Stegostoma tigrinum: one gene and its partner. The protein of the gene in region 1 interacts with the protein of each later gene in a pairwise test. Links are inferred from orthologs where the notes say so. Each region holds a gene or a part of one and is shown on either strand. Other genes may lie near its edges.

Region 1 (15,717 bases):
ATCGATGACATACATCTGCTGTAGGATGATAAATGTATATTTGTTTCTGCCAGGAGGGCATATGTTGCATAAGGGAGGCAATGGCCTAGTAGGATTATCGCTGGACTGTTAATCCAGAGACTCTCATAATGTTCTGGGGATGCACTTTGAACCCTACCACAGCAGATGGTGGAATTTGAATTCATAAAATATTCGGAATTAAGAATTTAACAATGACCATGAACCCGTTGCCAATTTTTAGGGAAAAACCAACCTGATTCACTAATGCCCTTTAAGGGAGGAAACTGCCATCTTTAGCTGGTCTGGCCTGCATGCGACTCCAGACCCACATCAATGTGGTTGTCTCTGGGGCAAGTAGGATGGGCAATAAATGCTGCCTGGTCAGTGACGCCCTCATCCCTTGAATGAACAAAGGGGAAAAAAGTAATGGCCGAAGGGAAATTAATTGAAAAAGGAAAATGAAGACGCATATCACTTTGAAAAAGAGAACTTATCACAATTCCAATACGAAACTTATTGTGAAGACACTAGCAATTACAGTATTAATATTCAATACAGTCATAACGTTAAATAAATCAGTAGTATTCTATCATAGGACACTCAACTTCCTTAGCATTCTTAGCTGAACAGAAGTGTAATGTTTGCACCAATGATTAGTTACGGTATAAGATAACGAAGTGTGGAACTGGATGAACACAGCAGGCCAAGCAGCATCTCAGGAGCACAAAAGCTGATGTTTCGGGCCTAGACCCTTCATCAGAGAGGGGGATGGGGAGAGGGTTCTGGAATAAACAGGGAGAGAGGAGGAGGCGGACCGGAGATGGAGAGAAAAGAAGATAGGTGGAGAGGAGAGTATAGGTGAGGAGGTAGGGAGGGGATAGGTCAGTCCAGGGAAGACGGACAGGTCAAGGAGGTGGGATGAGGTGGTAGGTAGGAAATGGAGGTGCAGCTTGGGGTGGGAGGAAGGGATGGGTGAGAGGAAGAACAGGTTAGGGAAGCGGAGACAGGCTGGGCTGGTTTTGGGATGCAATGGGGGGAGGGGACGAGCTGGGCTGGTTTTGTGATGCAGTGGGGGGAGGGAAAGAACTGGGCTGGTTTTGGGATGCGGTGGTGGAAGGGGAGATTTTGAAGCTTGTGAAGTCCACATTGATACCATTGGGCTGCAGGGTTCCCAAGCGGAATATGAGTTGCTGTTCTTGCAACCTTCGGGTGGCATCATTGTGGCACTGCAGGAGGCCCATGATGGACATGTCGTCTGAGGAATGGGAGGGGGAGTTAAAATGGTTCGCGACTGGGAGGTGCAGTCGTTTGCTGTGAACCGAGCGGAGGTGTTCTGCAAAGCAGTCCCTAAACCTCCGCTTGGTTACGGTATAGATGGGTAAGTAAACATAATGTGGTAGATATTTATTTCCAATTGCAGTAGCATTGTGAAGGAGGAAAAACATAGGATCATTAAGAAAAAAAAAGCAAAAAGTCTGTACTTTGCCTGATGTAGAAATAAAAGAAGTGAAGTAGTGCATTTGGTCCCGACAAGCTTGTTAGCTGTGGAAGATTTAGCCTTTTAATCCCCTTTTCTAATCTGGTTCTCATTTTACAAGTATATATCTCATTTTTAAAGACTTCAATTGATTCTGCACAGCAAGAACATAAGTTTATTATCCCAATTCAAAATGCGATTTTACCTGACGGTAACTCAACAACATATTCTCTGGATTTTGTATCATCTAATCCATCTGCAGGCTCTTCAGAGCGGCCTTCATCTAACACTTCATGTATTTCTATGGCATGTTCGTAAGTGTGCTCATCTTGCTCAAATGTAACGTTTTGTTCTTCAGCTTCCTGGTTATGGTCTTCATTTTCTGCCATTTTTCTGCACAAAACAGAAAGGCATTTTTTATAATACTGAGTTCAGCCTAATTTTTTTTAAAATTAATTTCATGATATGGGTCCATAAAATTTGAAAGAACTGCAAATGCTGTAAATGTGGAACAAAAACAGAAGTTGCTGGAAAAGCTCAGCAGGTCTGACAGCATCTGTGAAGAGAAAATTAGAGTTAACTAATGAGAGTCAACTTCTAATTAGTGTTAACTTCTGAGGAAGGGTCACCAGAGCCGCAATGTTAACTCTAATTTTCTCTTCACAGATGCTGCCAGACCTGACAAGCTTTTCCAGCAACTTCTGTTTTTGCTCCTCATGATATGGGTCCTTCAATTTACTCATTCTTAGTTCCTTTGAGAAAGTGTGGGAGCTACTTTCTGAAACTATTGTAGTCCATATGAGGCATATACTTCACAGCGTTTTGAGGAATGAAGTTCCAGAACTGCGATCCAGTAGTTGTGAAGGAAAAGCATGATATTTCCAAATCAGGATGACATGTGACTCATAGCTGAACCTACAGGTAATGGTTTTCCATGTGCCTTTTGTCTTTGTTTTTTCAAATGATAGAGTTTGCAGGTTTGGAATTTCCTGTTGAAGAAGTTTTGCTGAGTTACTGAACTGCAGTTCGTAGATAGTTCACACTACAGCCACAGTCCACCAGAGGTGAAGGGTGTGAATTTTTAGGTTGGTGGATAGGGTGTGATGCATTGAAATGTTTGAGGGTTTTCTGGGAAAATACACTCATTCAGGCATGATAAGAGTATTCTTCTTACTCCTGACTTGTCATGCTACAGAATAAACTTGTCAATTCATCTAATACCTTTAAATTGTAGGAAATAGGAATAAACAATCTAGACTTCTTTAAAGGGTCTATTTCTGGTATGATTCTTCTTCAATACATATTATGTATAATACAAAATGCAAATTGACTGTAAGAACTGTGGATGCTGTAAATCAGGAATAAAAACAAAGTTGCTGGAAAAGCTCAGCAGGTCTGGCAGCATCTGTGAAAGAAAAAAAGAGTTAATGTTTCGGGTCCGGCGACCATTTCTCAGAACTTCTTTGAAATTGTTTCATTAACGCTGTGAAATAAATGCTGGCCTGGCCAGTGACATGCTCAACCCATGAATGAATTAAAAAAGAAAGATAAAAGAATAAGAAAGTGATACTCTTCCCTTGCTTGGATGGCTGAGGATCCAAAAACATTCAAAAGACTTAGCACTATAAAAGACAAATCAGCCTACTGATTGGCACTCCATCTACCACATTCAATGTCCACTCGCTTCAGCACTGATGTTCAAAAGCAGCAATATGTACCATCCACAAGCAGAACTCATCAAATAGTTTCAAAACCTGTAGGCTCGACTGAGTAGAATGGCTAAAGCATAGGAACACCGCCACCAGCAATTTCCATGCCCCATCCTGACTTGAAGCCACTGGGTCAAAGTCCTGGAACACCCTTTTTAACAGCACTGTGGATGGCACAACATCCCAAGGAGTGCAAAGGTTCAATGAAGTAGCTCAGCACCGACTTTCGCCACCACATATAAGAATGGGTAATAAATCGTGACCTAGACAACACACCCCACATCTCATAAACTAATGTTTAAAAAGTCCCTTGTACTGTTATAGAGATTAGTAGGAACTGCAGAAGCTGAAGAATCTGAGATAACAAGGTGTAGAGCTGGATGAATACAGCAGGGCAAGCAGCATCAGAGGAGCAGGAAGGCTGACGTTTCGGGCCTAGACTCTTCTTCAGAAGTCAGGGAGGGGAAAGGGGTTCTGAAATAAATAGTGGGGGGGAGGCGGATAGAAGATGGATAGAAGAGAGGATACGTGAAGAGGATACAGACAGGGCAAAGAGGCGGGGATGGAGCCAGTAAAGGTGGGTGCAGATGGGCAGTTAGGGAGGAGATAGGTTAGCCCAGGCAGGGCGGACAGGTCAAAGGGGTGGGATGAAGCTAGTAGGTAGGAAAATTGGGTGGGGCTTGAGGTGGGAGGAGGGGGTAAGTGGGAGGAAGGGCAGGTTAGTGAGGCAGGGCTGGTTTTGGGATGCGGTAGGGGGAGGGGAGATTTTGAAGCTTGTGAAGTCCACATTGATACCATTGGGCTGCAGGGTTCCCAAGCCGAATGTGAGTTGCTGTTCCTGCAACCTTCGGGTGGCATTGTTGTGACACTGCAAGAGGCATGTCGTCTGAGGAATGGGAGGGGGAGTTGAAATGGTTCACGAATGGGAGGTGCAGTTGTTTAGTGTAAACCCAATGTAGGTGTTCTGCAAAGCGGTCCCCAGGCCTCCACTTGGTTTCCCTGATGTAGAGGAGGTCACAAAGGGAGCAGCGGATGCAGCATACCACATTAGCAGATGTGCAGGTGAACATCTACTTGACGTGAAAAGTCTTCTTGGGGCCTGGAATGGGGGTGAGGGGGTAGGTGCAGGTGTAGTACTTCCTGCGGTTGCAGGGAAAAGTGTCGGGTGATGTGGGGCTGGAGGGGAATGTGGAGCAGATAGAGGAGTCACAGAGAGAGTGGTCCCTCCGGAAAGCAGATACGGGTGGGGTGTGAAAAATATCTTTGGTAGTGGGGTCGGATTGCAGATGATGGAAGTGTTGGAGAATGATGTGTTGGATCCGGAGGTTGGTAGGGTGGTATGAGGACGAGGGGGATTCTGTTTTGGCTGTTATTGCGGGCAGGATGTGAGGGATGAGTTGCGGGAAATGTGGAAGACATGGTCGAGGGCATTCTCAACCACTGAGTGGGGGGGGGAAGTTGCAGTCCTTGAAAACCCTGCAGCTCAATGGTATCAATGTGGACTTCACAAGCTTCAAGATCTCCCTTCCCCTGACCGCATCCCACAACCAGCCCAGCCCGTCTCTGCCTCCCTAACCTGCCCTTCCTCCCACTTAACCGCTCCTCCCACCTCAAGCCCCACCCCCATCTCCTACATACCAACCTCATCCTGCCCTCTTGACCTGTCCGTCCTCCCTGGGCTGACCTATCTCCTCCCTAACTCCCCACCTACACTCACCTTTACTGGCTCCGTCCTCAGCTCTTTGACCCGTCTGTATCCTCTACACCTATCTTCTCCTACATCCATCTTCGATCCACCTCCCTCCTCTCCCTATTGATTTCAGAAATCCCTTCTCCTCCCCCATGTATTTCAGAAACCCCTTCTCCTCCCCCATGTACTGCTATAGCGTTTTCTTCTCCAACCCCTTACAGATTTTGACTTCCTAAAGAAAGTTTGGTGGCCAGAATTGGATATGTACTTTACTGGGTCACTTAGTTACAATTTATAATGATTTACCTAATTTTCAGATGTATTCTATTCCACGGCCACACCTATAAAGTTGAACAACTACTATTTTTTAGTAATCTTCCCAATTCATCCTGCCATCTGAGATTTATGTATGCATACTCCTAATTTCCCCTTTGAAATTATGTTAATTTATATCACCTCGCCTAATTCTTCCTATAAAATAGCATCACTTCTCAATCTCCTGTGATGCATTGCCTATTCTCCGTGCTTCACCAGTTCACTGATCCATCTGTGGCCTGCTGAAGTTACTATTCTCCTCACTACTTCTCAGAGTTTCAGTAATTGGCACATTTTAAAAAATATGCCCTGTATACCAAAGTCCAGGCTATCAATAGATATTGAATAGTAATTGTTCTAATAATATGTGCTCAGGGACACAAGTGTATACATGCCTTCAGAGTGAAAAACAACTGATCACAACCACTCTCTGCTTTTGGACTCTGAGACCATTTCATACTTTATTCAACAGGAAGAAAAAAATTGGTTCAGTAAGAGAAAGACATAATGCTAGAATGGGATGTTTTATATCTTGGGATGCTTGTATGCAATGTGGTTGAATTCCAGAAGGCCCTAGACGTCTAATTTCAGAGTTCATTCGAAAGTGATGCCTCCAAAGGGAGACAGAGCTAACTTGAATATCTACGACTAGTTTGCTTTAACCTTGCTAATAGACATTAAGTTTTACAAATGTTTAATTAAATATAAAAGTGGGTCAAGAACTGAGTACGTTTCTTGATTCGTGAGGATCTCCGTCCCTGGTTGGGAATACTCCCGGGGGGTCCCCACCCCCCACCCCGCGGTCGCAGATACTCCCAGGAGAGTTTTCGTCCCGGGGTTCGCAGATACTCCCAGGAGGGACCCCCCTCCGCCCGGGGTTGAGGATACTCCCGGGGGGTCACCGCCTCGGAGGTTGAGGATACTCCCGGGGAGTCTTCACCCCAGGGTCACGGATACTCCCTGGTCGCAGATACACTCGGGGGGTCACCATCCCGGGGTCGCGGATACTCCCGGGGGGGGTCTCCAACCCGGTGTCGCGGACACTCCCGGGGGGGGGGGGGAAGGTCTCCTTCTGACTTGAGCGGATCTAACAGCGAGCAGAAAGTCGTCGGGAAGTAGACCTGAATCAGTCGTTGCGCCGTGTCGGGGTTGTGATTCTCCGGCTACGGCCTCCTGCCCTCTCCGCTCCAGTCCCGGGCCTCGGCCTGTTGACCGCGGAGTCATAGCAACCGCATCAGTCCCTGTGCGCCTGCGCTATACCGCCCCCCTCCTGCTCCCACCGTCCCCATTGTGAAGAGTCACGTGTCTACAGGCATGTGTACACAGGGAACTAACAAACACTAAGTAATTACTGGGGTCAGAGATAATGGGAACTGCAGATGCTGGAGAATTCCAAGATAATAAAATGTGAGGCTGGATGAACACAGCAGGCCAAGCAGCATCTCAGGAGCACAAAAGCTGACGTTTCGGGCCTAGACCCTAATTACTTCCTCGGCATTTTCACCAATCAATTTCATACCTATGACAGAAATGAACTTTAGACGCACATATTAGCGCAATGTTTATGTCTACAATCTGGCCTACCTGTAACTCTACACGACAGCACAAGTTTGACTGAGATAACAAGATGTAGAGCTGGATGAACACAACAGGCCAAAGCAGCATCAGAGGAGCAGGAAAGCTGACGTTTCAGGTCTAGACCCTTCTGATGAACTTCACAGTTCATTTGACAGTGATGTTTCCAAACGGAGACAGAACTAACTTGAATATCTGATGAAGGGTCTAAGCCCAAAACATCAGCTTTCCTGCTCCTAAAATGCTGCTTGGCTGTGTTAATCCAGCTCCACACCTTGTTATCTCGGATTCTCCAGCATCTGCCATTCCTATCATCTCTGATAGAAGTTTGACTGAACTACCCTTTGCAATAGCCCAGGTCTGCAATCAGTTCAAAGTCAATTAGGCAGGTTCTCAATATTGGGATTATGCTAATTGAAAGGGTGTTAAAATCCCCATTGCAAGGGAACTTTTAAACAACAACAGAAATTGGAATTTGGTAGCATCAAAAATCTGGTCATGTCACATTTCATTCATGACACATCCCAACAGAAAAGTTATAATTTTACTACTAAATCTCCATGGGGTATTCTAAAAGAGGTGTACAGAAAACTCATTATTTTCAAAGTACGCTGACTTACAAAAGCAAGACAGCTGCAAATTCAGACATAGTAACACTCACAATGATTCAACTTAGCAATTTCACAGCAGATTGTCATAGCGCAACAGAAGTAAAACGACTCATGAGCACTGCTTTCATAGTCAAACAGCCTTTGCAGAAGGTGGAGAATAGTAAGGATCAACCCTGAGCTAAGGGTGTTGAGGTGTAGTCAAGGGACTGGTCCAGTCCAAGATTTCCCAACACCATGTCCTTTTAGTTCTTTCCTCAGCGTATGCTCTGGGGCATATTTAAAGTTCCTACACAATTTAAAAAATGCTTAATTTGAATTCACCTGGCATTCGTTCAGTCACGAATGGTTTAAATAATGAAACTTTGCACTGTTGATAGCTAATTGAAGTCTCCAGTTTTTTCAGAAATCATTTAGGTACAATAGCCCAGGCTTCCTGACAATTCAACTGAACAAAAGAAGTGAACTATTGAATTACGCAGAGCAGAAATTCCCAGTTTCGACGCACTCATCGGTGCATATAGTAACTGAATGGTCTACTATTTGGTGGGTTAGTAGTATGGCTGCCACCATTGAATTTGAGCCAGGGTAAGTAAGGAAATCGTGCGACAATATATTTATTTCTGACCTACATAATTATTAGATACTTTGAGAGATTAGTCATGGCTCATTTCAACTCTAAGCTTCCCAGCCTGCCTTGATCCCTTGCAATTTGCCTACTAGTGCAACAGGTCCATGGCAAATGCCATAATCCTACACTCATCCCTGGAACACCTGGATAATAATACCCACATCAGGTTTTTACTTATTGACCACAGCTCCACCTTCAACACTGTAATCACAACAAAGCTAATCTGCAAATTCTGAGACCTAGGTCTCTGCTTCACCCTCTGCAACTGGATCCTCAACATCACAACCCACAAACTGCAGTCAGTGGCAACAGGCAACAGTACATCCTGTGTGACAATCCTCAACACTGGCACCCCACAAAGATGTGTCATTAACCCTTTTCTGTACCATCTGTATACTCATGACTGCATGGCCAAATCTCATCCAACGCCATCTACAAGTTTGCCGCTGGCACCGCCGTTGTAAGCCAGATATCAAACAATGATGAAACAGAATACAAAAAAGGTGTGCGCGTTTGGTGGCATGGTGCAACGATAAGAATCTTTCCCTAAGTGTCAGCAAAATTAAATAGTTGGCCATCGACTCAGGAATCAAGGAGGAGGGCACGCCCCCACCTACATAAATCGAGCAGAGGTAGAGATGGTTGACAGTGCCAAGTTCTTAGGAGTGATGACTACCAATGATCTGGCCTGGACAACCCATGTTGTTGTAACATTCAAGAAGGCACAACAATGCCTCTTTTTCCTCAGGAGGCCAAGGAAATTTGGTATGTCCATAAGGACTCTCACCAACTTTTACAGATACATCACAGAAAGCATTCTACCTAGATGTGTCACGGTTTGGTACAGCAACTGTTCTTCCCAGGACCCCAAGAAACTACAGGAAGTTGCCAACACAGCCCAATCCATCAGACAAGCCAACTACCCAACCATTTACTTCATCTATACTTCTCGATGCCTAAGAAAGGCAGCCAACATCACCAAAGACCCTTCCCACCCCGGTTATAATGTCTTCCAACCTCTTCCATCAGGCAGTAGATACAAAAGCTTAAACACATGTACCAACAGCTTCTTCACTGCCATTATTAAACTTCTGAATGGGCCTCCCAAATTTCAAATCCAGTGTTGATCTTGCTTTTTATGCACTTTCTTTGCAGCCATAACTTTGTAATCCGTGCTCTGTCCAATCACCCCATGATCTTTGCATGCTATGAGTTGCCTGTGCTGCATGCAAAATAAAACTTCTCTCTATACTTCAGTACATTTGACAATAATAAATCAAATCAAAGACTCTTAGCTGCCTTCTCAGCAATTAGGGTTGTACAATAACTGCTGGCATGGCCAAATGATGCCTTCATCCTGTGAATGAATAAGAAAAGGGTACCCAATTTCCCCCGAGGTCTGACAGCTGACAGTTAACTTCCAAGTGCACGTGACAACTGCCTAAGACAGGCTAACTCCTTAAATATGCTAATCAGGGGCCTAAGGCCCAATGGAAGAACAAGTTTTTTTTTTGATTTACACTTATTTTAATTTGCAGTCAGAGCGGGATTGCTCCTCCTTTTCGCACAACAATTCATCCCCTTCTTGTTGCTGCTCCCAATTTTCTAATACCCATGTCCAAGCCAACACAATATCCAATCCTGCAGACAGAATGCCATGGTGCAAGATGTGATTATTCTGCTACATACACAGGACTAAAAGCATGGATTAATACTTCACATGATATTGAGGCATGGCAAAAATTAAAATGAAACGAAGAATGTTTCACCAATTAATTTTAATATTGATAACGATTGAAACAAACAGAAGAGACAGTATAGTTTTCTGAATAAATCAACATAATTTACATAAAATTTAAACTGGCCATTTCCATTGGTTGTGAGGGGCTTCTTCTATTAATGGTTCCCAAGGTTTCCACTTAGCCATTTTGTATGCTAGAGAAAGCTCATTCTCAGCCTGTAATTAAAATATAAGTTAGCAACCAAGAGTATTTTAAGAATGTTTTAAACAACATTTTAGTTTTCAAGTTTATTTTAAAGTTGTAAATCAAATATAAATTAAGATTAACTCTGCCCAATCACTAATTTTAGTTCATTGCACCTTTAAAAAGAAAATCACAAATTTAGCAAGATATCAGGGACTATGAATAAAGTAATTGTTGAATATTTGAGGGTAACAACAACAGCCTAAATCATCGCACTAAGTCAGAGGTAATAAAGAAGCCATTTTGATTCGGATCTTCACCAAAAAAAGTAAATGATCTGCTACAGTCTGACTGTTTCCAAATGTTAAGTTCTTTATCTTAGTGAATTTACTTTTTTTCTTGAAACTTTTAATGTGTTGATCCCATAATATCTTGACACCAGTAATAAACCTGTTCAATGCAGTGAAGTTAGCAAAAAATTAGACGAATGGTTATAAACTAATAACATAAAATAACTATTCTGTATCTTCAACCTCCAACACGATAGTGCAACAAATGTTTTGTCTATTCTGAATGGGAGAGAATTGCACCACATACACAGACTATAAGTTTTGCTTAACCAAATGACTAATGCCTCCTGTCAACGATTTTGTAACATTACACACCACATCACTCAACTGAATATTTGGCCATCTATGTCATTTAAATATACCCATAATTGATTTTTTTCCTTCACAAATAAAGCAGCTTAATGTCTGCATTATCTTCAGCTTAAAAATGGCTTGAATTTCACTAGTGTCCCAAATGGAGGACCTCCTCATCATTCACTACTGTCCCACATATTTGAAAATCAAGTAATATACAAGGAGAGTCATTGGCTGTGATCTATTTGGATTTCCAGAAGGCCTTTGACAAGGGGCTGCATAGGAGGCTGCTAAATACACATGAGCCCATGGTTTTAGAGGTAAGTTACTGGCAATAGATGGAGGATTGGTTGACTGGCAGGCGGCAGCAAGTGGGGACAAAGGGTTCATTTTCAGGGTGGTAACTGGTGACAAGAGGAACTATTGCCAGAGTCCATGTTGGGACCACCACTACTCATGGTTTGCGTTAACGCTCTAGATGAACTCACCAACAGTTACTAAGTTTGCACATCTCATAGATAAAGATGAAGGGATTGGTAGTGTTGAGGAAGCAGGGAGGCTGCAGGCAGAGTTGGGCAGGCTAGAAGTGTGGGCAAATATGTGGTAGGTGGAATACAACGTGGAAGAGTGTGAAGGTTATGCACTTTGGTAGGAAGAATACAGACATAGACACTATTTTCTAAATAGGGAAATGATTCAGAAATATGAAGCATGAAAGGAATTGGGAGCCAAGTTCAGGACTCACTTAAGGATAACATGTAGGTTCAGTTGGCTGTTAGAAAGGCAAATACAATGTTAGCATTCATTTCAAGAAGGCTGTGCTGCTGAGACTGTATAAGGTTTTGGTCAGATTGCATTTGGAACATTGACAGCAGTCTTGGACCCCATATCTAAGGAAGGCTGTATCTGCATGTTTGGGATCCAAAGGAGTTTTTCTGAGGAAACCGCAACCAGAATGGATAGAGGAGAACCAATAGATGTTTTGTATTGGACTTCCAGAAGGCATTTGTCAATATACCTCACAAAAGATTGAGCCATAAGAGCCCATGGCATTGGAGTTTGTACATGAGCGTGGACAGAGAATTGGCTAATGTCAGGAAACAGTGAGTGGAGATAAAGGATTCTTTTTCAGTTTGCCTACCTGTGACCAGCAGGGTTCGATGGGCATCAGTGTTGGAACCATAACAGTTTACAATATATATTAATGACTTGGAGAAAGTGAATGTACTATAACCAAATTTGCAGATGACACAAAAACAAGTGGAAATGCAGGTTGAGAGGGGGATACAAACAGTTTATAGACTTATCGATAGGTTACATTAGTGGGCAAAAAGTTGGCAAATGAGTATAATCACATTGGAATGGAGAATAAACGAATAGAATATTATTTAAATGGAGAAAAACTTCATAAAGCTGCAACACAAAGATTTGGGGATACTTGTACATGAAACACAGAAAGCAAGTAGGTGCAGCAGGTAATCAGAATGGCTAGTGGAATGTTGGCTCTTATTTCAAGGAAGGTGGAGTTATAAGAATAGGGAAGTCTTACTGCAACTGTGCAAGATGCTGGAGAGACTACATCTGGAGTACTGAGACATGTTTTGGTCCCCCTATTTAAGGCAAGATATCATTTCATTGGTGGCAGTTCAGAGAAGGTTCACTTGAATTGTCCCCAGTATGGAGCCACTGTATCATGTGCAAGGCTAAACAGGTTGATACATTTTTCATTGGAGGAGTTTCAAACAATGAGAGCTGATCTCATTGAAACAAATAAGATTATTAAAAAGGCTTGACAGGTTAAACGCTGAGAGGATTTCTCCCCAGATGGGAGAGCCTAGGGCATGTGAATTTAGTCTCAGAATAAAGGGGTGCCAATTTAAGGTGGAGATGAATTTCTTCTCTCTGATGGTTGTGATGCTTTGGAACTCCTTGCCACAGAAAACTATGGCGGAAAGTCCTTACGTATGTGTAAGCCTGAGACAGATAGATTCTTAATCAGTATGGGAATCAAAGGTTTTGGGGCAAGGCAAAAAAAGTGGATGAGGAATGTCGCACCATCCATGATTCTACTGAATGGCACAGGAGGCTCAATGGGCCAAAATCTCGGGCGTGCCTTCATCTTGAGTTTAAGATGAGTAGCTTGTCATCAACATTACAGAATGTTTAATTACACAAACAAAAGAAAATGCTCCAGAGTCATGGCCAAATGTGTTTTTAAAAAAAAATCAAACACAAGATACAGAAAACAGTGATATTGAAAGATGGGGTTTCTTCCACTTTGAGGGGAAATTCCTAATATGATGGTTCCTGCTCGTAGTTGACAGTCTGCACTGAATATATTCTATTGAATTCTATATGGAGTCTGAAGAAGTGAGACCGTGGCATACCTGTGAAATTACTTCTTCGATCTGTCCACAGTTGATTTTGTCTTCTAGTTTTTGAACATCGCGCTCCTACAATACATAATACAGAACAGGTGGCTTGAAATGAATACCTGCGTACAGGGTGTCACTCCTCTGGAGTTCTTCACAGTGCTGTTGGGAAGTTCTAAGGCTTTGAACCAGTGACCGCATCTCCTAGGATTTGATGAATGTCAAAGGCCATTTGGTGAATTTCTGCTGGGCACCTTTGATCTGATACACAGTACTGTCTTTCTACTTTAGTAATGGTGGATGACACGTTTAGAGTAGTGTATAGGTTACCAATCAAACTGACTGCTTTCCCCTTGGTTGTATTAAATTTGTTGAATGTTGATGAAGCTGCACACATCCAGGAATGTGGACAATATAATATTACACTCCTGAGTTGTGCTTGGTAAATGGTGGACAGGTTCAGTGTTGTCAGATGGTGGGTTACTCTCTGCAGAATTCAATCTCTGAATAGCCCTCAGTCACAGAACTTATATGGTTAGTCCAGTTAAGTTTCTGACCATTAGTAACACACAGGACATTAGTGGTGAGACACCCAGTAACTGTCATGAATTCAATACCACAACAAAAAACATTACATTAATATCTTTAGCTCCGGTTTCAGTTATTTTATTAACCCCGATTTCTGCAATTGTCTGAAAGGCATGTATGATTCAGGTGTATTGTCCCAATAAACATTAGAAAATGCCTTTCATTTATTGCACACCTTTCATTACCCTTCATTATTTCAATATTAGAAGTAAATCATATTTACATAAAATCAGCTTTACAAAGTTCAAGACTTACAGAAGACTTTTACAGTACTTGAAGTGAGAAAATGCTAATATGAAATATCAATCTGACAAATAACACACCATCCATTGAAAACAAGTGATCAATTACATCAGGCTAGCTTACCGATTTTACCAAGTTAAGCCTTTCATTGATGATCTGCTCTGTGTATTTTCGATAGGCCACATCCTGAGGCAGAGATTGTAAAACGGTAAGAATTCTGGAGTACAGAATTCTCAAATTCTAAAAGTAAACAACACAAAACAAATTGGAAGCATTAACTCATTTAGGCCTATTTATCTTCTTTTAATCTCCTCAAACTATCTCTAGCAGGCAGGTCAGGCCTGTAAGCCTGTAGATAGGCCCCTACCCGTCCTGCCAGCTAGCAGCTCGTTCATCTTTATTTTCCTTTTGCCAAGGAACATAGGTGCTTTACCAGTTTGAAATCAGTAACATTTTAGGAGGCGCAAGTTTAAACTGGTGTCAGCAACATATTCTGTTTAGGTGGATAGGTTAGATAGGGAGGAAAAAACTAATAGCACAACAATAAAGTAAGAAAACACAGTCAGGTTAGATGGCAAGAAGTACTATTCTTACATAATTATCCATTCCCAAATAAGGAAGCATGAATTCACCACAACTGTTTCAAAAGGGAACTAGACAATTCCTAACAACCGAGAAGATCCCTAGTTGAGAAATATAAGTGTAGAGGTAGCTGCAATTATTCCTTACAGTTTGTTTTCTTGACTGAAAGTGTAGTTTGATAGTTTCTTTTACTAAATTGGCTACCAGTGTCTCTCCCTCTCTTTGGTGAATGTGAAAACTTGTGCATTTTAGACAAACTTTTAGACAATATACAATAGATGCAGGAGTAGGCCACTCGGCCCTTCATGCCAGCACCATCTTACCATCCTGACTCAGCACAATGTTATTTGTGCCATATCACACTACCCTCCAATCAACTTTAACCTTATGTATTTGAATTAAATCCTAGAAATTACCAGGTAAAGCAAACATGAAAGCACTCAAACAACTAATATATAACACAAGAACATAAAGGGAAATTCCTTCCAAGGAATCAACAGAAAATCAGTGCATACATTAACGTTACATATCATAAAAGCATTAGATTTAGCGACCATTTGGAAACTTTCCACTAATTATTGAAAAGTCAAAAAAAGTCCCAGATTCTGTGCCAAAATCTATGCTCTGTCTCCATGTTTTGCCCACAGATTGTCTGCAAATAAATGAATGTTAGATAAAAAGATTTTTTTAATGTCTTAATGTTAATTTGTTAAAAGTTTCTCCATCAGGTTTCTTTCAACCAGAGTTATTCTGAACAACAAGTCTAATCATAGAGATGTACAGCATGGAAACAGACCCTTCAATCTGACCATTTCATGCTGGCAAGATATCCAAAACAAATCCAATGCCAGCATTTGGCCCACATCCCTCCAAACCCTTCCTTTCCATATATCCATCCAAATGCCTCTTGAATGTTATAATCGTACGAGACTCCACCACTTCGTCTGGCAGTTCATTCCATAACACACAAGCCTGTGCACAAAAAAATTTGCCCGTTAGGTCCCTTTTAAGTTTTTCCCTTCTCATCTTAAACTTATGCCCTCTAGTTTTGGGCTCCCCTACCCTGGGGAAAAGACCTTGACTATTCACCCTATCCACACCCCTCATTATTTTATAAACCTCTAATAAAAGGTCACCTCTCAGCCTCTGACAACTCCAGGGAAAATAGTCCTAGTTTATTCAGGCATTCCCCATAGTTCAAACTCCCCAAACCTTGTCAGTTTTTACTGAACCCTTTCAGGTTTCACATCATCTTTTCTGTCAAAGGGAGTCCAGAATTGAACGTAGTATTCCAAAAGTGGCCTCAACAATGTCCGGTACAGATGCAACGTGACTTCCCAAGTTCTGTACCCAATGCA
Region 2 (15,754 bases), on another chromosome or scaffold:
CCCCCATCTCCATGAAGCTCCCTTCTGGAGTAGAATTAACCCAAAGGATGAGAGAGAAACAATTCAACCTTTTTCCCTCCAGGTCTGAACCAAGACCACCTAAACTCTGTCATTGATTTGCAGTAAGCAGTCATCAAGCATCAGGCTCATGGTCTACAGAACAAATGTGGTCCCCATCCTCCCGTATACATCAGAAACAGGAACCATATACAGCAGATACCTCAAACTACTGGAGAGTTATCACCAGTGCCACCTTCACAAAATCCTACAAATCCACAGGCAGGATCAGTGAACAAATGCGTGCAAGCTCTGACAGGACAATGCCCAAAATATTGAGGCACTGGTCACACATGACCAATTGTGCTGGGAACGCAACATTGTCCGCATACTTGCCAAAAGACTCCCTTAACCAATGCTCCATTCTGTGCACTGAATGTTCACAAGGAGAGGAGAGGAAATGTTAAAAGGATGCCTTGGAAGGCTTCTTTGGCAAATGCATCATCCCCATTGACTCATGACCTCAAGCCTCACACTTGCCCGAGAACGCATAACCTACAGAAGGCACCAACCACTATGAAGGTCACCAAGTGAAGCATACGGAGCACTAGCACAAGTATCAGAAAGACAATGCAGAATCCAGAGGGTTTTGAGGGCACATTGCCCCCATCTCAAACATCACCTACCCACCTGTGGCTCCAGGACTGGACTATTGAGCTACCACAAAACCTCCGGACATCCGAAGTGGAAGCAAGTCCTCCCTGTCCCAAATGGACGACCAAAGAATCAAGGCAAGTTCAATTGAGATATTCAATAAAACAATGGGTGATTGTATAAATTAGAAACAAAGTTATGAGGAAGAGGCAGAAATTTTGGAACCAAGTCAAAATGCTCAGAGAGATGGTAAAGAGATGATGGACTGAAGGGCCTCTGTCGACTTCATGTCCATTCTCTGATTGCTGTCTCAAAGGGCTGAAGCAGACATGAAGGGCTAATACCACCCTCCTAGGTCGCTGCATTTTTGGATGATTCTGTACAAAAGTCACTGATTAATAGAAATGTTGGAATGGGAAACACCAAAATACAGGTAAGACTTCATGAACCCTATGTAATTTAAATTGGATTGAACTTACACAGCCCTCACCAGACACTTCAGCTCATTTTCAGAAACAGAAGGGAAATAATCTTTAGACTAAACCAAACACCAACGTTGAGGATCTGATTTCAAGGAAAGGAAACTGCAATAAATTATTAAACACCCCTGCTCAGTATTTTTTTTGCTGAGTTTTAAAAACTCAACAAATCCAATTAAATATTGATCCACAAATCAAGGAGCCACAGAGAAAGTAATGTCCCATGACAGATGTTCTTTGGCATGGTAAACTGGCTTTAGAAGCTGTGCCTTAAAACATCCCATTGAAGTAAAAATGCTTGACTACATCCGAAGGCTCTTAAAAAGAGTGTTCTCAAGGAAAATTGAGACCAAGCAACGATAGAGTTAGTTTTGCTACAAAAATCAAATATCAGAATGGGAGACTAACAACTTGATTAAGGGGGTAGCTATTAATTGCCTTTTTGATTAAATTTTTAAAAAGTAGAGAAGCCTAGTGAAGAAACTACATTCTTTGGAAATGGCATAAATACAGACATTATTGGTACGCCAATGGCTTCCTTTTATGCTGTACTGCTCTCTGAACAATAGGTGTTCATTCTGACCAGTACAGCACCTTTTATTGTATTTTTGTTCCATTTCCTGCGTATGTTCTTTCTGATTGCCAATTTCTAGTTTAGTAAAAGATCAGTTTCAAAACAGCTCTAGGCAGGAGAAGACGTTCATCCTTGTTAGGTCACTTATCTCTAACATTTCACATGTTCCTTTTGTTGATAAGCCTTTCTAATTCCTTCTTGAAACATTCAATGTTCTGCTGTCTGTCGTTCCACTTGTGGCAATTCACATGGATCCATCATCCCTGTGTTCCCGCCCTGCTACGTTGGCTCTTGATTAGGCAACACCTCGTATGGAATTTTCCCTTCCCTGGAGGTGTCGCAGAGGTGATGAGGAGAAATAATTGGGTGAATTGGCCCTAGAAAGATACATGACGCAGCTTCCTTCTTGGTACCTCATCCAGAAAGTGCTGTACGAGATGGACCATGAGCTAGTTTTTGATTCACCACCAACTAAAAATCTTAATCGATGCCTGATAGCCACTGAGAGGCCTTAACTTTGCTACCTCCACAGTCACAAATGAGCTGTTCCTGGATTGGGGACTGTGACCCTCATTTGCCCCAATCTGGGGTAATCAGAGATACAGATTAGGGACAATGGGATGGCTTTTGAAAGCTACTCTCTACTTTGAAAGCTATTTTCTGACCCAAATTATCCATAACCATCCCATCAGAAGAGTTGAAAAGAGTACTTACCTTCTCACCCCTCATACCCTACAGGGTACGCCATGACTTGCAACTTTTGTAATGCAGAAACTACTTGCATGTGTTTGAGTAGCATCTCTGACAAGTGTCAAGGCCAGCATCATGCTAGAAACTCAGCAATGATCACCTCTTGGCTGTTATCGAATTGATTAGCATGCAAACAGGTGACTTATTTCAGCACTAGGGATGGCATTGCTTGGAGCCATTTAACATGCCCATCTCAACACTTCACAAAGAAAAATGAAAACTCTGCTACCACAGGTGAATAATCGACCACTGGATTTTAAATTATCATAACTGTTTTTTCACAGTTCTTCATGTGCTGGCTTCTCTCCATCTCTGAAACGTGCTCCACACTATATTTCTGTGTATTCTGCGTTCTTCCAATTTCAGACTCTTGCATAACCTCAGTTCTTTTATTCTGCCATTGACTGTCTTACCTTCAGTTGCCCAGACCCTATGCTTAATTCCCTGTTTAGTAATCTCTGTCTCTTTCTCTTCACATTGACAGTGCTTTTTGAAATTTACATCTTGGATGAAACAATGGATTATCTATCCTAATATGTTGTTGTGTGTCTTGGTGTCAAAGCAGTACCATTAATTATTTATAGAAATGTTTCCCAATGTTATGGACATTTTATGAATTGGAACTTCTTGTTGTGCCACCATTCATGCCAGTAATCTATTCAACACGCTTCCCATTCTTTTAATAAACAGATTATTGCTCTGCTTCCTGTTTACTTTTGCTCTCTCTATTTGTTATTTTAGGTTGTAGACTCCACAGGAGCAATTTCCCAAACCAATCACATGGGATCCAAAATATGAGATGCTTTCTTTCCATTCAGTCTGAACTGAATTTGATCCCTGACCCCAGAATTGTTGTGCCATTGTTGTGAGTATTACTATAAATATACAGCCACAATGGCCCAATTGGCCTCTTCCTGCACTACAAGTTTCTGAATAACCAGCGTTCCATGGAAGGCAAAATGCTGTGGATGCTGGAAATCTAAAATCAAAAATGAAAATGTTGACAACCCCCAGCACGTCAGGCAGCATTTGTGGGGAGAGAAACAAAAGTTGATTGTTGAAGTTGGTGATCTTTCCTAGTGCTATCCTTTACATCATTTAATGATGAAAAACAATATGTTTTCATAATGTCCCATGAATTTGACAATAGAACAATATATTGGTCTTTGCTGGTTACAAAGGCCCCTCTTTAAGGGAAGGTTGTTGATTTAGCGAGAGCACATTGCCCGAGAGATTATGGCATCATGGTAACGATCTCATTGTATTCAAAGAAGAATAGGGACATTTTAGCCAGTGCCCTGACTAATAATTATCCCTCAACTGATATCAACAACAAAAATGGAGAGTGAAAGAAGCGTTTATGCTGTAACTCAGAAACAAAAACAGAAATAGCTGGAAAAGCTGAGCAGATCTGGCAGCATCTGTGGAGAAAAATCATAGTTAATGTTTTGGGTTGTTTTGTTTTTGAAAGAAAACAGATTCTGCTCATCATCACACTTATGTTTGCAGGACCCTTCTCTGACCAAATTTGCTATCTTGTTTCCTACATTATAATGGTAACTACACTTCAAAAAAAGTCATTGGCTGCGAAGTGTCTTGACATGCCCTGAGGATGTGAAGGATTTTATACAAATCCCTGTCTCTTTTCATTGGCCATGTTTACTCTGACTTCCTGTTCTCGTGCAGTAGTTGGAGTTTTTTTTAATTAGACAAGCAAACCACATTTTGTGAGTTCAATTCCCAGCGTACATTATGAAAGAAAATTCACATTAAATTGGTTGGAATAGTTGTAAAGATCTGGCTGGATTACTAATATTCCTCAGGAAAAGGAAATTAATGTCCCTTAGAATAGGGAAGTTGTCTGTCGTATCTGATTTGGCTTACATGTCATTTCAATCTCATACTAAGTAGCTGTCTTAGGGATACTTGCTGTAGGAAATAAACATGCATTAGCCATATCCTAAGAACATAAAATTAAATATCTTTCTAAAACCTCTCAGGTTAAGGTAAAAAAATGAAAAGACAATGAAGCTTCAGGCTGTTTATGTCAAGATTTCAGGCTCTCGTTTAAATTCATCATTAATCTCCTGCCCTTTGTCTAGTTCACCCTGCCAGTTGAATAACTGTCAGAACTCTGCATTACACTGGCATATGTGAAATTGGTTTTTCGGCTGGATAACCTGCTGACTTTGATTTGGATTCATGCCTTCAGCAGAAGAGAGAAGTAGGGAATAGGATACACACACACACACACACACACACACACACACACACATTGAAGTACACAAAATACTAAGGAGAAAAACAATAGTCAGGGACACGAACCAACTAGTGTAACATCACTATTTCATAATATTAATTTATTCTTACTTAAAGCATTCAATTTGAAAAGTTACTTTAATAGTCTCTGTGGCTATACACAAGATTAATTGATTTCATCCTCAGGGACAATTCAAATAAATCTACTCTGGGTTTTCTCACCCGTAATGACACCATGCCTGTGACAACAACCAATCAATATTCATTCCACCCATCTGCAGATTTCGCATGCTACCCATTTTAATTGCTTATCGTGTTATACTTAAACTATTATATACATGTTCTATTTTCACATCATAAATATGTTTGTCAAATGCCTTTTTAAAATTGTGATTTAAGTTGCCTTCTTCATCTTTTTGTGGTCAACTGCATAAATTTAGATGTCGAAATAAATAGGCCTTAAAAATAGGCTTCTTTGTACACAGAAATCCAAAACTATACTGTAAATAGTAAATGAGTTTCAAAGGAGAACTGGATTCTGCAGGAGTGCTAAGAAGGATTTAACAGTCAGGCAGTAGGCATGGCTAAAGTATAATTTAAGAACTTCACATTTGTCTTAACCAAGAAAGAATCGTGGAGTCATAGAATCTCTACTGTGTGGAAGCAGACCATTTGGCTCATCAAGTCCACACCAATGCTCTGAACAGTATCCATTCTGTCCCTGTAGCTCTGTTTTTCCAATGGCCAATCTACCTAACCTGTACATCTTTGGAGGAAACAGGAGAGAATGGAGAAAACCCATGCAAACATGGGGAGAATGCACAAACTCCACACAGACAGTTACCCAAGGATGGAATCGAGCCAGGGTTTCTGGCACTGTGAGGCAGCAGTGCTAATCACTGAACCACTGTGCCACCCCATGCACCCCAGAAGGTGCTGGTGAAGCCATGATTGAGGAGACAGTCGTTGGAAGCTTGAGAGACTAAAATTTTATAAGGAGAGGATATTAGATTGCCTGTCTGGATGAGGGAAGTAAGGAAATTGGACAGGCACTGACCATGTCTTTGAATCCTCATTAGACACAGAGGTGGTGTCAGCACTGAACTGGAGAATTTCAAATGTTACACTCTTCTTCAAAAAAAGACACAAGGATAAACCCAGTAATTGTATAATCAGTTTATTTAACCTTGGTTTTGTAAAAGCTTTGAGAAACAATAATTTGGGACAACATTAACAATCACTTGGATAGACACAAGACAAAGATCTTCAGCAATATGTTTGTTCAATAGTATTCAAGTTAATAGAATCATACAATACAAAAGAGGGCCTATGGTCTATCAAGTCTGTACCGCCAAAGCTACACTGAATCTAACTAGCCCCACTTTTCAGCACCAGGCCCACGCCTTGAATGTTTTAACATATCTTGATTAATTCAGGAAAACCAGCATAGACTTATAGAGGGAATACCATATTTAAGTTTTTTTGGTGAGATAGCACAGAGAGCAATGAGAACAATGAAATCACTGTAGTGTGCTTGGACTTCCAAAGGGCATCTGGTTCCACATATCAAACCTTTTAGCAAAGCTAGAGGTAAGGAGACAAATGTGACAGTAATATCTTGGATATAAAATTGGCTGAGGTACAGGTAACAGAGTACTTGTGGATGATTCTTTCTTTTGGAATGGAGGAAACATTTTAGTTACGTTTGCCAGAGATTGTTATCAGTTCTGTTGCTCTTTTGATGCATGTTGCTGGCACGGCTGCTGTGCATAGGACACCACCTCAAAATCTGCAGATGTTACAAACGATGTAATTATTGTGTTATGTGAGAATAGTGGTAAAATTCAGGAGATCATAGACAGACTTATGGGAGTAACAGAAACAGAATGAGATTTGATACAGAGAAGTATGAAATGCTTTGATTTCGAAGGATGGGGAAAGACTTCATAAAATAAAGCATACCATTCTATAGGATGTGCAGGCCACAGAGGGGCATGGGGATGTATGTTCAGAGACCATTAAAGCTGACAATAGCAGGTTGAAAAAATGGTTAATAAAGCATACAATATTCTAGGATTTATAAATGAGGACAAGAAGTATAAAAACACAGCTGTTGTGATAAAACTACATGAAACATTGGTTTGACCTTTAACGGAGTATTGTGTCCAGTCTTGGACAGCACACTTTAAAAAATTTGTGGTGGTATTATAAAAGATGCACAGAAGATTTTTAAGAATAGATCAGGTACAAGGGACTTAAATTACATAGATAATTGTAGAAGCTGAGGTTGTCATCTTTGGAGATGAGGAGATGTTCAAATGTATGAGGTATCTAGACAGAGTAAACAGTGAGGAACTGTTCACATTAGCAGAAAGTCAACAATCAGAAGCAACAACTTGATGATTGGCAGAGAACCATAACAGGCACAAAAAGAAATCTTTTTTCAAAAGTGAGTGACTGGGATCATGAATGCCCTGAAATGGCCTCCTTCTGTGCTCTAACAATTCTATGAGTAGTTCATAGTACAGTACTTGAATATTGCTGAAAAGAGACATGTATTGTCAAAGCCTTTGTCTTCAGGATAAACACAAGAATGCCAAATTTCAAATGAACTCCAGAATTTATGCCGTTGGAGAAGTGGGTGCTGATTGGTTGACAAGTTGTCTTTGATGTTAACATGCAGAAAACAAAATGGATAGGTCCCCATTCTCTTTGGGAATTCAGAAAAGGTACAAGACTTACATTGTGATTGTTTCAAATTTGATATTCTTGAGTTTTCCTCAAGAGTATAAGAAAAACAAGCCTCTCTTTTCAGCAGTATTCCTATCTGTACCTCACTGTGACTGAACGTAAAAGTTCCTCTGGTACTATTTAATGAGGAGTGATCAATTATTAAACTTTAATCAACAAGTCTCTTAAAATAGCTTAATAGCAATTGATCTCGTTGCTGTTGGTGGGGCCTGTTTTCAAAGTCAGGACTGCATTTTGCCACAGCACAAGCGACTGCGCTTAAAATATCCTCTGGTTCTATACTCTCCCATTAGAACAAAATCTCTCCAGTCAAGTCCCCTAAGAATACTGATATGTTTCAATAACATTGCTTTTCATTCTTCTAAACTCCAATGAATTCAATCCTAGCTACTCAATCTGATCTCATAAGAAAATCTGTCCATACCTGGGATCAACTTGGTGAATGTTCTCTACACTGCCTCCAATGCCACGTATATCCCTCCTTAGATAAAGAGGCCAAAACTGTTTACAGTATTCCAACTATGGTCTGACGAATGCCTTGTATAGGTTAGCAAGACTTCTCTATTTTTATACGACATTACATTTCAAATAAAGGCCAGCATTTCCTTCATATCCTGTCTTTAAAAACTTCTGAAAATCTGTTAAGTATATTTAAGTACATTGGTAAATAGATATTTACCAAGTGGTAGAGAGGCGGAACACATCCCTTGATTCCCATCTGATAGGTAATATGTATGTGTTGTGGCTTTTTGTGTGTCTCCAATTTAGATCACTCCACCCCAGCTCAGAGACAGTGACTTAATTTGCCTGGGTTCCCGGCTCTGAAATTCCTTGCTACAACCTCTCATCGCAAAGCTTCTCAACCAACACCTCACCTCCCCCATTTACAGAATTCACGGAATTGTAAGAGCTCATTCAGCTCATCGTGACTGTGCCAGCTCTCTGAATGAGTAATGCACCTACTGTCATTCCTCCACCTTCTCCCCGTGAAACTATTATCTGAAAAGGAAAATTATCATCCAATTGTCACTGGCCAAGGTGTTGGTCCAGCTACCCCAGACGCGGCCTTATCAGGCCCAAAGACCAAAATTTGGGACATCATACTCCTGTAAGCTCTCTGTGAGCCACATTAATGCAAGCTATTGTTACTATATGCTGTACAGTATTACATGCCTTTGTAGTGCAGATGTGCTCCAGCGAAGAGGCAAGTTCCTCCCTCTCCATCCATACGAGTGGGAGGGTAAGGCAATGAGAAAAAAAATCCTACGGAGCTGCAACCTACCTTGAATGTGGTCCCACAAGCCCCACCCACACCTACTCACACATCTCCCGATTCCGATTGGGTAGCGAGCGTGTCAATCGTCATCGGCAGACACTTCCGGTAGGCGGCAGGTTTGGTTGGCGACACGAAGGGGGCGGGGTTTCCTTTAGTCCCGCCCCCGCTTCAGCCCGCGGACATGGCTGTTCCTCTCAGTCAGACGGTGGTGCGTCGAAGGGGCTTTGGTGATGGCGGTTAAAAAAAGATGTAAATTTCTATCGGCGTTTACTTAAATCCGCTGGATTTGTAAATTCATGAGGGAAACTGTTGTGCATTTGAGCCGCCGAGGTAATTTTCCTGCTGGAAATCGAAAGGCGGTGTCGCCATGAAAATTTTCCCGAAAGTCTTAATTTCATCTTGTAATTGGGATGGAAGATTGAAATGGATGGGCGAGTACGTTTTTTTAAGTCACTGGTAATGTTTAATTCAGGGTTTTCTCTTTTGATTCTCGTTTCTGTAGGAGCTTTACTAGCTGAATACAGCAAGATCCCACTTTTAGCCCACCACCACCTCCCTTTTATTTTGCAGATGAAGCGGTGCAAGTCTGACGAACTGCCCCTGGATGAGGAGCAGGGGTCGAAGCTGGGAGTTGGTGCTGATACAGCGCTCAAGCAGCAGGGTGATGCTACGCCAGCAGATGCTGCCTGTCCATCCCGCAACAACAGAGCTCAAGACTTGAAGGTACAGCGAATAAATAAGCTCTTCCTTCTTTACTCATAATAATAACATAGGCTGGTGAAAATCCTACCTCTTCTTTTGGGCTTTCTGCCTTTTGCCCTCGTGTAGCTCCAAATTTTTGCCTGCTGCATCTCCTAAAATGCACCTTTGGGTATCTTGCTGTCTGCCAAGGTGCTATGCAAAAGCAGGTTGCTTTCAAACTTTTAATTGTGCGGGATGCTTTGTCTTACCTGATGTTATTGCTCACTACCTTTGGCTTGTTTTATCCCAACTGACACAAAAGTGATTAAGGGGCTGATGACTAAGACAATTAGATTTAAGGTAAAGAAGAATCAAGGGTGTGTTTCGTCTGGTTTCAGATTTAACCCCGCCTCTGAGTAAGTCTTTGCTAACCTCATATTGTGCTGAGAGGTGGTTTGAAAACTACTGAATGACTCTTTATTAGTGATTTTTATGGTTTAAATAATTAGCTATGTTTTTAATCTGCATTTTTGCAATGGAAATATAAGGTTGAGTAATTGGGCACTGAGGAATTGTTATTCCTGATAATGTAAACAACTGGGATCACAGCTGAAAAGTCCTGCAAAAGATACAGTTTGTGCATATTTAAGTGTTCAAATTAAATTTCAATCATGCATGCTGCCCAAAGTGGTGTCCTTTGAGCCAAAGTGACTCTGGTGATCTGTGCTGTTTCTTCATTTCAGCTGGGCTATAATCTGTCTGGGTGGGGCAGATGGCCACCGCCTCTGTTCCAGCAGAGTGGAAAATCAACCCTATCTTCATAACTATCCAGTAAATCCTGTTGGATAGTGGGTGTGGGTAGATCAGTTCACTACAACATCGTCTTCAACCAATCCAGCACAGTCAAGAAGCCTGCAGAGACTTGCTGCTTTAGATTATACAAAAGGAATAATAATTCAAGTCAGCTATTTAATTAAGAATCATGGCACAAGAAATAGATTTCTGAAGATTAAAGTTGCAATTCAAATAAATCCAGTCACCTTCCGTAATTTTTGTTTAATAAAAGTATAACTGATTCACTTTTTAAGTGGAATGAGTGATTGACAAAGAACTTAGAACTCGAATCCAGTCTTTGAATTGTGAAAGTAAATTGGACATGTTTCAATTATACGATTTTTTGATAGTGTCTGAATCTCTCAAATCCATTATTGTTTTGTTATTCACCAATGGTCATTCACTGCAGTCATTATTGCCCCCCCTTGTGCTTTCATTGTGGTGAATTGTTATAAATAGAGCTTAGTTCAGCATATGACATTGAACAGAATGCTCTTATTTCAATGGGGAAGGAAGATTAATAACTTGGGCTATTCGTTTCTACTACATCACTATCATTTTGAACAATGTTTTTAGTTTACTATGAATAATAGATACCAGTGTTGTATTGCTGTGTTCCAAACCTCAGCTATACCTGGAAGGAAAATAAAACTAAACTCTTAGATGCCACTATAATAGTAATAATACTAATGAACTAATTCTAAGTAGTCATTCTAATTCCTTTCTCGTGCAAATTCATATTTGTCATGCATGGGGTAACTTTACTCAGAATAACAATTTGAAGTCTGTTTAGTGGCTTTTCCATTGTTTTTCTCGCATGTCATCTACCATAGTTTCTATGTGCTGTACATTTTATCTGTTTGTGACGATGGCTTAGAGAGCTGATTCAAGGCCCTGTTTTTTTGCATTCTGTCTGTCTTCCTCTTCCTCCTACATTTTGCTCCCACCCCGTGCTTCACTCATTTTCAATTTTAAATTAAAAGTTTTGTAGTGTGTGCATCAGCATTTCTTGCATCATTAATATGATCAATTTCTAGGCAGTGTTTCCTAAATTAATACAGTCCCAGATAGGTACCTTTAAATGTGATATTCCAGGACTCTCTTCCAAACAGCTGCTGGAATTATATCTACTGATTTATTTTTTGGCTACATGTCCATTCTTTGAGAAATACATGTTGCAATTACAAGTTGAATACATCCTTAAATACGTCAGGGTTCTGATCCTTCATCCTAACACCATGACACAAATAATCCTCTACTCGTCTGCCATTATGTAACAGTGGGATTGTTTCAATGCTTAGTGTTTTATTTGAGGACAATTCTTACTTTGAAGGAGGTTGAGTGTGGTTGACTTAAAAAGCCTTGTTCACACTGGTCATGTTCTATATCTGCTAATTTTGTTTAAAACAAAATGAAGCACAGGTGGCAATTTGATGCCAGTCATTTATGTTGAGGCCCAAGAATGACAATTCTTCCTCTCCTGAAATATTTCAGTCTGACACTCCCTTTTACACACAAGATCGGAGCAGAAGTGGATCATATGGCTTTTTGAGCCTTCTCTGGCATTCAGTGCAGTATTTCTAGGTTTCATCTCCACTTAGTTGAGACCTGTTAATGTAGATAAGAATTTCAGGATTTTCCTAAATAAATTATGCGCCAAGATTTTTCTGTCAAACACATTCTTGCACACACACTTAAAAGAAGTGATTGCTATTTAAATGAGTACCATTTGTGAATTTATATGGTGTTTAGCCTCATTTTATGGTGCACCCTTGTTTCTCCCTCCTTAGTTGAACTGATCCATAATTTGAGAAGAATTTTGCTTGTTCCTGTCTTCTCTGTAATTGTTTTCTGACCATGATGTCAAGATACTTCAAGCTTAAATGGAAAGAAAATACCTGAAGCTGCATCTTCTCCTCTGAGAAATTAAAATTACTGGTAGTTTTCATCATGACCTGGTGAATGAAGGCACATTGCCAGGTGTGACAGAAACGTAACTGCCCTCCAGAGTTTGAGAGGATATTGAAGTCACTTCTGGGCTTTTGATAAAGTGGAAAAGAGGAGGAAAAAAATGTGGGCGATATGTTTTCTGTTAACCTGCTTCAGTAGTTTGGCCTTTATGGTGCTAGAAAATATAATTTAGAGAGGCACAGGTGTGATTTCCCAATCTGCTGATTTATTTAATCTGAGTCAGGAGACCAGTTAATTTGTGTATTTAACCTTATTGTCCCACATATTTGGAACATGGGATGGAGGGCAATCAGTCTGAAACCCTGCACCTCCTTACCATCCAGTGAGCATTGGAATATATTGTTGAACTTATTGTCACTGCTTGTTTGTGACGAATGATTTCTTGTACTAAGTACTGCTATGTGAAGAACAGAATGTAACCATGAGATTGTTCTTTCGCAAGGGGAGGGGAAGATGAAAAACAAAGCATTGGAGCAAAATTGACAGCTCAAGTAAATAAAATAAGTGTAAATTAAACAAATATAAGTAAAAGTATATACAATAAATACAGTGGAAACTGCTTTGCCACATTTGGCTAATTTTAATTTACTATGGCCAATTCATGTGTGAGCTCATAATAGTCCCTGTCCTTGTGGGCTGCAGAACATGTGTCCCAGTGTTTTCAGGTTTGGTAACCCTCAGAGGAAGGGTCATTGGACCTGAAACTTTGACTCTATTTTCTCTGGTGCTGGTGCTGCCAGACCTGCTGGGCTTTTCCAGTAACTTTGTTTTTGTTCCTGATTTACAGCATCCACAATTCTGTTGGTTTTTACAAATACCATGGCGATCATTGCAAATGGTTACAAATGCTTCAGTAAAACAGAAATTGCTGGAGAAACTCAGCAGTTCTGGCAGCACCTGTGAAGAGAGGGCAGAGTCAGTTCTGGGGATTCTGACCTTTCAGCAGAGTCTGTCTGAAGGAGGGTCGCTGGACCTGGACCTGAACATTCACTCCGCTTTCTCTCCACATATGCTGCCAGGCCTACTGAGTTTCTCCAGCAGTTTCTGTTTTTCAGGCTTTCTGCATCTACAGTTATGTTTCTTTTAGCTATAGATGCTTGGTCTTCAATCTAGGTAGGAATTGGGTCAAGACATTGTCTGTTGTGCTCATAGTCTTGAATCATGCAAAATGATCAGATTGGCTGACTTGCATGTTTTCTGCAGGGAAAAAAAGGTTTATGGGTCTGACTTCTACTGTCTGGTTTAAGAAGTACCTTGGACATCCAGGTTACTGTGTCTACTGGTTCTGGACTAAAACCATAGCTTGAATGTTCAGCTTTGGTATGTTCGTAATTAATGTTTGGTACCATTGCGTGCAGTCTCTCTTGCTTTTCAGTCAAAATCTAATGGAGTAAAATCTGACATAACATTTTACTTTTGGGTGAGCATAGACATACAGCCAAATGATTCAGAGATAATAAATAGGTTTTGGTGGCTCAGTGGTTAGCCCTGCTGCCTCTCCGCGCCAGGGGACCTGGGTTCAATTTCACCCTGAGGCGACTATCTGTGTGGAGTTTGCACATTCACCCTGTGTCTGCATTGGTTTTCTCCGTGTGCTCCGGTTTCCTTCCACAGTCCAAAGATGTGCAGATCGGGTGGATTGGCCATGCTTAATTGCCCACAGTGTTCAGGGATGTGTAGATGAGGTTGGTTATAGGGGAATGGGTCCTGGTGGATTGTTCTGAATGTCACTGTGGACTTGTTGGGCTGATGGGCCTGTTTCCACACTGTAGGGATTCTAAAAGAAAATTGGTTACTTTGGTTTCATTGCAGAATCTCTCAGAAAACACTTGTACATTTGCAATGACAGCAAACCTGACATTTGGAATTTGGCATTTCAATGACACAAATTTTACTTATGTAGAACATTTTGTTATGAAATGACCCACTGTGATTCATAGCAGGATTATAAAAACATATACTGTCATAGAACCCCTACAGTGCAGGAATAGGCTGCTTGGCCCTTGAACTTGCACCAAACCTCTGAAGATCGTCCTACCCAGACCTAGTTCCCCACCTCATCCCTGTAACCGCAGATATACATCTAGCATGCACTTTCTATGATACAATGGGGCAATTTGTCATGGTAGATCCACCTAATTTGCGCATATTTGGACTGCAGAAAGAAACTGGAGTACCTGGCAGAAACCGACATAGACATGGGGAGAACATGCAAACTCCACACAATCACCCAAGCTGAAATCAAACTCAGGTCACTGATACCTGTGAGGCAGCTTGGTCATACAAGTATGATATAAGGAATATTTTAAAGAAGGAAAGTGGGGTAGAGTAGCCAAAAGTGTAGAGAGTCTACTGGAGCTTTGATATCTGGGCAGCTGATCGAATGACCATGTGGTGGAGCAGTTGTAATTGGGAGTGACTACGAGGCCAGAATTTGAGGAATGCAGCTTTCTTGAGGGCTTGTGTAGTTGGAGGACATTTAGAGATAGTGATGAAACTATGGAGGGATTTGGAAATGAGGGCATGGCTTTAAAAATCAAGATGATGGATATTGCTTGGGTGGGGAGATATTATGGTCAGTGATGAGGGGGACTGGCTGGGTATTAAGACATGGGCAGCACAGTTTCACGTGAGCTCCAGTTTACATAAGATAGAATGTGGGAGACTAGCCAGGAATCCATTGGAATTGTTGAGTGCAGAGGTAACAAAGACAGAAATGAGAGGATGAACTCGAATAGGATCAAAGGCAAGCGATATTACACAGGTGGAAGTGTCGGATTCAATGATATGAGAGGGGTTCGGAAACCTATAAGCAATCTTTGAATCAAATGTGACATGTAGATTGTGGACACTCCAACTTAATCTCAGATTTTCGCCAGGTAACCAAGTTGGGGGCGGGAGCTGAAAACAAGACTTCAGTTTTTGTGATAACCAAGTGTGAAGCTGGATGAACACAGCAGGCCAAGCAGCATCTCAGGAGCACAAAAGCTGACGTTTTGGGCCTGTAGCTCTCTGATGAAGGGTCTAGGCCCGAAACGTCAGCTTCACACTTTGTTATCTTGGATTCTCCAGCATCGGCAGTTCCCATTTTCTCTCTTCAGTTTTTGTAATGTTTTATTGGAGGAAATTTATGCTTATCTAGTACTTTTCATTGAATAAACAGACTGATAATTTGGGAACTATAATTGACTTAATATAGTCCATGATGAGGCAGAGCTCTGTGTTGTCACTTACACGTATAAATTGGTGCTGTGCTTTTGGACAGTATAACTGCAGAGGGAGGGCTAAGGATCGGTTCCCAGATGTAACTGTGTGGGAGCAAGTAAAGAAACACGTTGCAGGTGGTTATCTTAGATTAAGAATGGAACCAGGTGAGATCATTCTCATTCAGTGGACTACCATTGGAGAGGTGTTGGTGGAGGAGACTGTGATGAAACGTCTCTTCAGGCTCCTGAAAGTTTTCCTTTTTCATACTCTGACAGAATGAAATTTGTGACTTAGATAAAATCTGTTCCGTTACTTCGGAAT

The links.
Region 2: the proteins of iqub (region 1) and tmcc2 interact in a two-hybrid assay, tested with the Homo sapiens proteins (2 studies listed by BioGRID and IntAct). The two-hybrid records come from large-scale screens. The link is inferred for Stegostoma tigrinum from reciprocal best matches to the Homo sapiens genes IQUB and TMCC2.

Annotation. Positions count from the first base shown.
Region 1 is NC_081371.1:14,578,050-14,593,766, reverse strand, and holds the start of iqub (IQ and ubiquitin-like domain-containing protein), read right to left. Parts: upstream 6,434-15,717; 5' UTR 6,313-6,433; intron 1,871-6,312; 5' UTR 1,867-1,870; coding exon 1,683-1,866; intron 400-1,682; exon of another isoform or gene 254-399; intron 1-253. Other genes in the region: ndufa5 (NADH dehydrogenase [ubiquinone] 1 alpha subcomplex subunit 5), read right to left, coding at 9,861-9,962, 12,962-13,027, 13,901-14,017. UniProt on the Homo sapiens protein: Adapter protein that anchors the radial spoke 1 (RS1) complex to the A microtubule of outer doublet microtubules in axonemes. The triple radial spokes (RS1, RS2 and RS3) are required to modulate beating of the sperm flagellum.
Region 2 is NC_081374.1:8,079,703-8,095,456, reverse strand, and holds the start of tmcc2 (transmembrane and coiled-coil domains protein 2), read left to right. Parts: upstream 1-8,907; 5' UTR 8,908-9,163; coding exon 9,164-9,175; coding exon of another isoform or gene 9,176-9,196; intron 9,197-9,310; coding exon 9,311-9,463; intron 9,464-15,754.